2 linked regions of the Sus scrofa genome follow. The protein of the gene in region 1 purifies or fractionates together with the protein of each later gene. This does not show direct contact. Links are inferred from orthologs where the notes say so. Each region holds a gene or a part of one and is shown in the gene's direction. Other genes may lie near its edges. The genes, in order: ANKRD28 and ARHGEF2.

The links.
Region 2: the proteins of ANKRD28 (region 1) and ARHGEF2 purify together in Homo sapiens (affinity purification with mass spectrometry; 3 studies listed by BioGRID and IntAct, with this or other methods). This does not show direct contact. The link is inferred for Sus scrofa from reciprocal best matches to the Homo sapiens genes ANKRD28 and ARHGEF2.

The regions. Positions count from the first base shown.
Region 1 is NC_010455.5:2,928,558-2,932,372, reverse strand, and holds part of ANKRD28 (serine/threonine-protein phosphatase 6 regulatory ankyrin repeat subunit A), read left to right. Parts: intron 1-320; coding exon 321-403; intron 404-852; coding exon 853-935; intron 936-2,109; coding exon 2,110-2,201; intron 2,202-3,815. UniProt on the Homo sapiens protein: Regulatory subunit of protein phosphatase 6 (PP6) that may be involved in the recognition of phosphoprotein substrates. Involved in the PP6-mediated dephosphorylation of NFKBIE opposing its degradation in response to TNF-alpha.
Region 2 is NC_010446.5:94,074,734-94,078,548, forward strand, and holds part of ARHGEF2 (rho guanine nucleotide exchange factor 2), read left to right. Parts: intron 1-865; coding exon 866-1,066; intron 1,067-1,461; coding exon 1,462-1,581; intron 1,582-1,710; coding exon 1,711-1,778; intron 1,779-1,916; coding exon 1,917-1,952; intron 1,953-2,160; coding exon 2,161-2,211; intron 2,212-2,419; coding exon 2,420-2,863; intron 2,864-3,110; coding exon 3,111-3,297; intron 3,298-3,815. UniProt on the Homo sapiens protein: Activates Rho-GTPases by promoting the exchange of GDP for GTP.

The DNA.
Region 1 (3,815 bases):
GAAAAAAACAGTACCTACTTTGTAGAGTTGTTTTGAGGGGTAAATAAGTTACTATAAATTCCAGACCACTTAAAACAGTGTTTGAAATTTAGTAAGCACTCACAAAATGAATGTTAGTTGCTTTGTTCATGTCTGTTGCTTACACAAGAGTATGCCAATATAGTATATACCTTTACATTACAATGGGTTTTTTGTGTGTGTGCTTAAGTTTTTGCTAGAGGGATATTTTTCCTTTCTGTCTTCATTTCTCTACAGTGAGTTATTAGTAATCTGAGCTATATGTTCATAAACAAAAGAGTTGATAGAATTTTTCCTCCCAGAGATGCTGGTTAGCAGTGCTAGTGCAGATCTGACTTTACAAGATAACAGTAAAAACACCGCCCTCCATTTGGCTTGCAGCAAGGTATGTACACATCTTAAGGGTATGTTTTCATTGTTAATATCAACAGTGGCATTTAAATTTTTTCCACTTAACTAAAATGAACAGAGCTAGGAACCAGTCCTCTCTTATAATCACTGGCATCAGATTTCTTGGGGGAGCTGGGGAATGCTGACTTATTAAGCACCATGCAATGTGAAAGTTTCCAGGCAGCAGCCAAGTAAATTTTGGAGCACAGGCCTAAATGTAATTATTGTCTTTCTCTATTCTTAAATATTCTTGTACTCTTAACTAAGCCCATTACACCAGTGCATGTTTGGACAGATATTTAAGGCATTAGCTAAGAAAATGCATGGCCTGTGTATGGTGATGTACATGCTTTATGGACTAGGGTTGAATTGTTTTTAGTGTATAAATATCTTTTATATCTTTAATGGTGCCCACATTTTAAGAGTTATTTGCCATCATTTTAGGGTCATGAAACTAGTGCCTTGTTAATACTGGAAAAGATAACAGATAGAAACCTCATCAATGCAACCAATGCAGCTTTGCAAACGTGAGTACTTTTAGTGTCTAGTGTAAACCATGTGACCCCTAATTAGATGATAAATGGGTTTTTTTTCTAACATGGGACCATTGGAATGAGGCTGTCAATTAAAAAATAAAGGCAGTTTTTATAATTGATAAAGCTTATTTCTTAAAAGCATCACAACTAATAGGCATATTAATAGAAAAGCTTTTGAACTGAAACTTTATTATTGAAAATAATGAGTTATTTCTCAATCCAGTTTTATGGAGGAAAATAATACGACTCTGTGTGTTTTATGGCAGTCAACTGAAATAGTACCTTATTTAACATTAGCAATTAATGAGGTTTAAAGCTTTATTTGTGTCTCTAAGCAGAGAGATTTCAGAAATAATCAAGTTCTTTATGTGAGAAGCCAGCCTCTAGGTGACTGCTTAAATCTTGGGTCACCTTCTCCATATTCCTCTCCCAATTTCCATTTGCTCTTCTGCTTTGAGACTTAGTAAAGAGAAAAATCTTATAAAACTGTTTCCTATTCAGGTACCAGTCAGATCCCTTAAGCGTCCAAAAATGAGTCATGAACTATGAACTGTTTTCAAAGCCTGTTGGAATTTGTGCTATTGCGATTTACAGTTTTTATTATATATTCTATTTATTTTTGTTTTTGTTATGGGGGCCTTGAGGGCGGTTGTTTGGGGGTTTGTTTTTTGTGCTTTTTGGCCATACTCTCGGCATGTGGAAATTCCCAGGCTAGGGATCGGATCCCAGCAGTATCTGTGATCTATACCACAACTGGCGACGCTAGATTCTTAACCCACTGCACCACAGCAGGAACTGTTATTATACGTGTTTGCTAGCCACGTTTCTTAAAACAACTTAGAGTGCAGTTTAGTTAGTAGAATCATTTCAAACATTGAGTCTTAAAGGAAACTTACAAAGGGTTTGGTGAAGGTGGGACTCATTGACGGGTCCAGTGCTGCAGGCAGGGCACATTGATGAGGCACTTGTACGCTGGATCTGCCCTCCCCACTCCCATTTTTGTTGCTGCCAGGACCAGGTGTCTCCACTTTGCATCTTTGAGTCTTCACAACCCAGCAAAAAAAAATGCTCTTCAACTGCCAGGCTTGGGAGAGGGAGAGAGAAGTAATCGTGCACACGTGTAGCCATACAAGTATGTATATATACACGTATTTTCCCCCCCCAGACCTCTGCATGTTGCTGCCCGGAACGGGCTAACAATGGTGGTTCAAGAACTTTTGGGAAAAGGAGCAAGTGTGCTTGCAGTAGATGAAAATGGTAAGTAGTTTCTAATTCACTTTCCTTAACCTGTGAGAAGCTTTTATCTTTGAGTGATCCATATTTGAAGTAAAACAGATGTGGCTAGCTTTTATTGGTCAACGAGGAGAGCTGAAGTTAATATTAAATAGGACTGACTTTGTGCAAAAGGCATAAGGACAAAGAACAGGAAAAGTCCATTCAAAAGATGAACCTCTGAGTTTCACATATTTATTAAATCAGAGTGTGTCAACTTTCATGTTAGTTATATCACTGTTGATTATCTTAGTATTCAACAGATTTCTTCTGTCAACAAATATTTTTCAAGGCCCTTACTTAATTGCAGATTTTATCTAAAACTAATCTTCCTATTTATGCACTAGATCTCTTTTGCCTACTCGAGACTACCACTTTAGAAGTTCTTTGATTTTGTGTCCTGTGGTAATGATTTTTTTTTGTAGGAATCTTTCCAGATTCATCCCATCAGGATAAAAACATTATTTCTCTCATCTTAAATATTTTATTAATCCCACTCCTTCTGCCAGCTCTTCCCGTGCTTCTCTGTTACACTTACTATCACAGTTACTCAAGGGTTGGCTCTCCCACTGTCCGCAATTCTTCTTTTCCTTCTCTGCCAAATCCCCTCTGGCCAGACCTCACCCCCACGGTACCACGGAACCATTCTCATCAATATCACCAGTGACTAATGCAGTGTTAGGTTTCAATTCTTAGTTTCCCTTTTACTTGACATGTCAGAATTTGACACAACTAGTTGTTCCTTCTTTAAAAATAGGAATAGGCTTTTAAAGTGGAATCGAAAATGTACATGAATAAAGACTGTGCAAGTTGTAGTCTACCATAGCTAGTGTCCAATATTCCCCCAAATCACTGTGCTACACACTGTTCCTTGGATCAGTAGGTGCACATCATTTGAGGAGAGTCAAGAAGTATATGTGGTTTGATTATAACGTACTATGTGAATGTCTAAGACACGTGTCTAGAACTGAGCAGCTCATCCTTTCTCCCCCCTCTGTGGAGTGGGTTCTCCCCACAGCTGTCCTAAGCTCAGCTGAAGACAAGTCCTATCCTTACAGTTGCTCAGGACAAAAACCTTGAGTCATCCTCGACCCTCTGTCACACCAGGGTACAATCTGCCAGCATATTGCTGTTGAGCCACCTCCAGAGTATATTCAAAATAGGCCCCTTCTTTTTCCTCTCTTCCTACCACCCTGGCTGGGATCCTTTTAAAAAACATGAGGAGATACTACTCGGAGTCTCAGTTCACTGATAATCCTTAAATGACCTCCTGCGCCCTATTGGATCAGTCTGTGGCCCGTTACCCTTCTCACCTCATCTCATCCTCTCCTGCCCCATCTCCCTCTACCACGCCGGCTCCTCACACCGGGACATGCATGCGTGATCCTCTTTGTTCTGGCTGTTTCCTCTACTCAGAACACTCTGCCCCCAACAGTCTTACTAAATCCTTCACCTGTTTGAAGTTTCGTCTTCTCAATGAAGGCCATCCTGACTACCCTTTTTGTACTACAGCCGCTGCACACCCCACTGTATCCTCTTTCTCAGTTAACCTGCTCTGCTCCTTCCTCGTTCTCTTTTTCCATAGAGCTTATCTTCTAA
Region 2 (3,815 bases), on another chromosome or scaffold:
AATTCAGTCACATGGCAATGCCCAGCTGCAAGCCAGGCCTGGAAATGGCATCTAATGGGTAGCCATGTGCCCAAGTGAAACTTGTACACATTCTCCCATTAAAGGAAGATGGAGAGAATGAAAACTAGCGGACAGCCTGCAGTCCCTGCCACGATAGTTTTACTTTTGTTTTTATTTATTTATTTATTTATTGTCTTTTTGCCTTTTCTAGGGCTGCTCCCTTGACACATGGAGGTTCCCAGGCTAGGGGTCTAATCAGAGCTTTAGCTGCCGGCCTACAACAGAGCCACAGCAATGTGGGATCTGAGCCGTGTCCGTGAGCTGCACCACAGCTCACGGCAATGCCGGATCCTTAACCCACTGAGCAAGGCCAGGGATTGAACCCGCGACCTCATGGTTCCTAGTCGGATTCATTAACCACTGAGCCATGACGGAAACTCCTTACTTTTGTTTTTAAAACAAAAGTGCAGGCGTTCCCACTGTAGCACAACTGGATCAGTGGTGTGTCTGCAGTGCCAAGACGCAGGTTCAATCCTGGGCTGGCACAGTGGGTGAAAGGATCCAGCATACTGCCGCTGTGGCATAGATCACAGCTATGGTTGAGATCTGATCCCTGGCCCAGGTATTCCATATGCTCTAGAGTGGCCAAAAAAAGAAAACAAGCAAACGAACCCCAAAAGTATATGGTTACTTTTACTTTTCCCCCCAAAATGTTCTTTTCTTTTTTGTAAATGCCAAAAAGCCAAAATTAAGTGCTGCCACTGTGCCCAGGCCTGGCTCCTAACCCCTAGGGCTGCCTCCTGACTACTGGCTCTCCTGGGTGCCCCCAGGCCCATCTGTGTGCTCACCTGTTTCTCATCCACAGTGGAGCTGCAGCAGAAAGACCGGGCACTGGTGGAGCTGCTGCAGGAGAAAGTTGGGCTGTTTGCCGAGATGACCCATTTCCAGGTGGAAGAGGATGGCGGTGGTGGGATGCCCCTGCCCACTCTGCCCAGGGGCCTTTTCCGCTCTGAGTCCCTTGAGTCACCTCGTGGCGAGCGGCTGCTGCAGGATGCCATCCGTGAGGGTGAGGGAGCGCCCAGGGAAGAGCCCAGACTCGTCCCCTCACTGTCATGGCATACGGACACATGGCTAGACCTGGACACACATGGGCAAGGGGGAGGCCAGCCCCATAGTCTACAACTCCCCTGAGCACCTGCTCTGTGCCAGGGGCTGGGGATGGCGGGGAAGAGGCACGGTCCTTGCTGCTGTTGACACCTCTCATCCTGCATGCCTCCTGTGCTACTCCTTGAGCATCTTTAATGACTTTTGCCTCGTACGTGGCCATGGCAGTGAGACCCCACTGCCTGTGCAGGGGGCAGTCCCCTAGATGTCTGCATTCTGGTATCCTGGGTGAATGCCGTCCCGCCGCTCACTGGATTCTCTGCTTCTCCTTTCTCACCGCTCCCTCTTTCCCCTCAGTGGAGGGCCTGAAAGACCTGCTGGTGGGGCCTGGAGTGGAGCTGCTCTTGACTTCCCGGGAACCAGCCCTACCCGTGGAAACGGACAGTGGTGGTAACACGAGTCCTGGGGTCACTGCCAGTGAGTACCAGGGCAGGGGACCAAGGTAGCAGGTGGGCAGGGTTAAAGAGAAGGGAGTGGTACCAAGGACCGAGCAGTGCCAGGGCCCTAGGAAAGTGAGCTGGGCCCATCTTTTCCCCTTCTCGACAGATGGCGAGGCCAGAACCTTCAATGGCTCGATAGAGCTCTGCAGAGCTGACTCAGACTCCAGCCAGAAGGTGGGTCTCAGGAGGTGTCAGGACTTGGCTAGGGGGCGGGAAAGGAACAGCTGGCCTATAGATCCTGACACAGAGCTCTCAGGGACAGGCCCCGGGAAGTTGTGTCTGCTGATTCCCCATCCTTGCCTGTTTCTGCAGGATCGAAATGGAAACCAGCTGAGATCTCCCCAGGAGGTGAGACGGGGATGTGACGGTATAGGAGACTGAAGGGAGGGGTATTCTCATCTGAGAAACTGGAGCCCGGTTTGGAGTGCATGGGGGAGAGCGTACACCTCCAAGTACCTGCAGTCTTATTTTCCCCACCCCCACACTTAATTGACTTCCGGGCAGTTGTTCCATCCTGAAGCTTGGACTCTGTTCCCACCCTCTCTTCTGTCCTCAGGAAGCGTTGCAGCGATTGGTCAATCTCTATGGACTTCTTCATGGCCTACAGGTCAGTGGGGTGAGGGCTAGAACGGGAAGGAGAGGTGCCTGACCAGGGCTGCCCATCTAAGTGGGGCACGATCACCCTAACAGACCTTTGTAAGCCTTCCCCTGATTCGAGGCCTACAGGAATCCTGACCTGGGCCCTGAGGAGGGAGGGCAGGGGATAGAAGAAACGGGGAATTCTGATACACCATCCATCCCCATTCCACCCCCAGGCGGCTGTGGCCCAGCAGGACACTTTGATGGAAGCTCGGTTCCCTGAGGGTCCTGAGCGGCGGGAGAAGCTGACCAGAGCCAACTCCCGGGATGGGGAGGCTGGCAGAGCCGGGGCTGCCCCTGTGGCTCCTGAAAAGCAGGCTACAGAACTGGCATTACTGCAACGGCAACACGCACTGTTGCAAGAGGAGCTTCGGCGCTGCCGGCGGCTTGGTGAAGAGCGGGCGACGGAGGCTGGCAGCCTGGAAGCCCGGCTCCGGGAAAGCGAGCAGGCCCGAGCTCTGCTGGAGCGGGAGGTCGAAGAGGCTCGCAGGCAGTTGGCCGCCTTGGGCCACACGGAACCACTCCCGGCTGAGGCCCCCTGGGCCCGCAGGCCTCTGGATCCGAGGCGTCGTAGCCTCCCTGCAGGCGATGCCCTGTACTTGAGTTTCACTCCCCCACAGGTAAGGAAGCTTGGAATAGTGACCTGACTTGGGGTGGACTTCAGGCTCCACGAGAGAACCTGAAAGGAATTGGAGACTTGAGCCCAAGTGAACTCAGGCATCAGGCTTGATGGATATTAGAGTACTGATGGGAAGACTGAACTATTTAGACAGGGACAGAAAGAAATCAGTCAGTAGTAGATGTACCAAGAGAGTCTTCGAACTGCTCATTCCCTGGCCTCCTGCTTTTCCTACCTGCCGTCCACAGCCCAGCCGAGGCCACGACCGCCTGGATTTGCCTGTGACTATTCGCTCAGTCCATCGACCCTTCGAGGATCGAGAGAGGCAGGAGCTGGGCAGCCCTGATGAGCGGCTGCAAGATAGCAGTGACCCTGACACCGGCAGCGAGGAGGAAGGTAGCAGCAGCCGTCTGTCTCCGCCACATAGTCCACGAGGTGAGACCCTGGTGGCCACATGGAATAGAAGGAGGTGCGACCTGGGTACAGACCCTTGAGCCATGGTCTCCAAACGGAGCCTGCATCGTAGAGCACAGAAACATTTAGGATGGTCCCTAACCAAACACCAAGGTCTACAGCAACTCCTGGAGGGGCACAGGGCACTTCCTGTTTTGTCTGCTGGTAAATGGGCAGGGGAACTCTAGGAAACAAAAAATGTAGGGGCTCTGTTCCAGCAAGTCCATGATTCCAGCCTCTGCAAGTAGAAATAGATTTTTTTTTTTTTTTGGTCTTTTTAGAACCACACCCACAGTATATGGAGGTTCCCAGGCTAGAGGTTGAATGTGAGCTGCAGCTGCCAGCCTATACCATGGCCACAGCAACACCGGATCCAAGCCTGTCTGTGACCTACATCACAGGTCATGGCAATGCAGGATCCTTAACCCACTGAGCAAGACCAGAGATTGAACCTGTGTCCTCAAGGATGCTAGGCAGATTTGTTTCTGCTAAGCCACGAC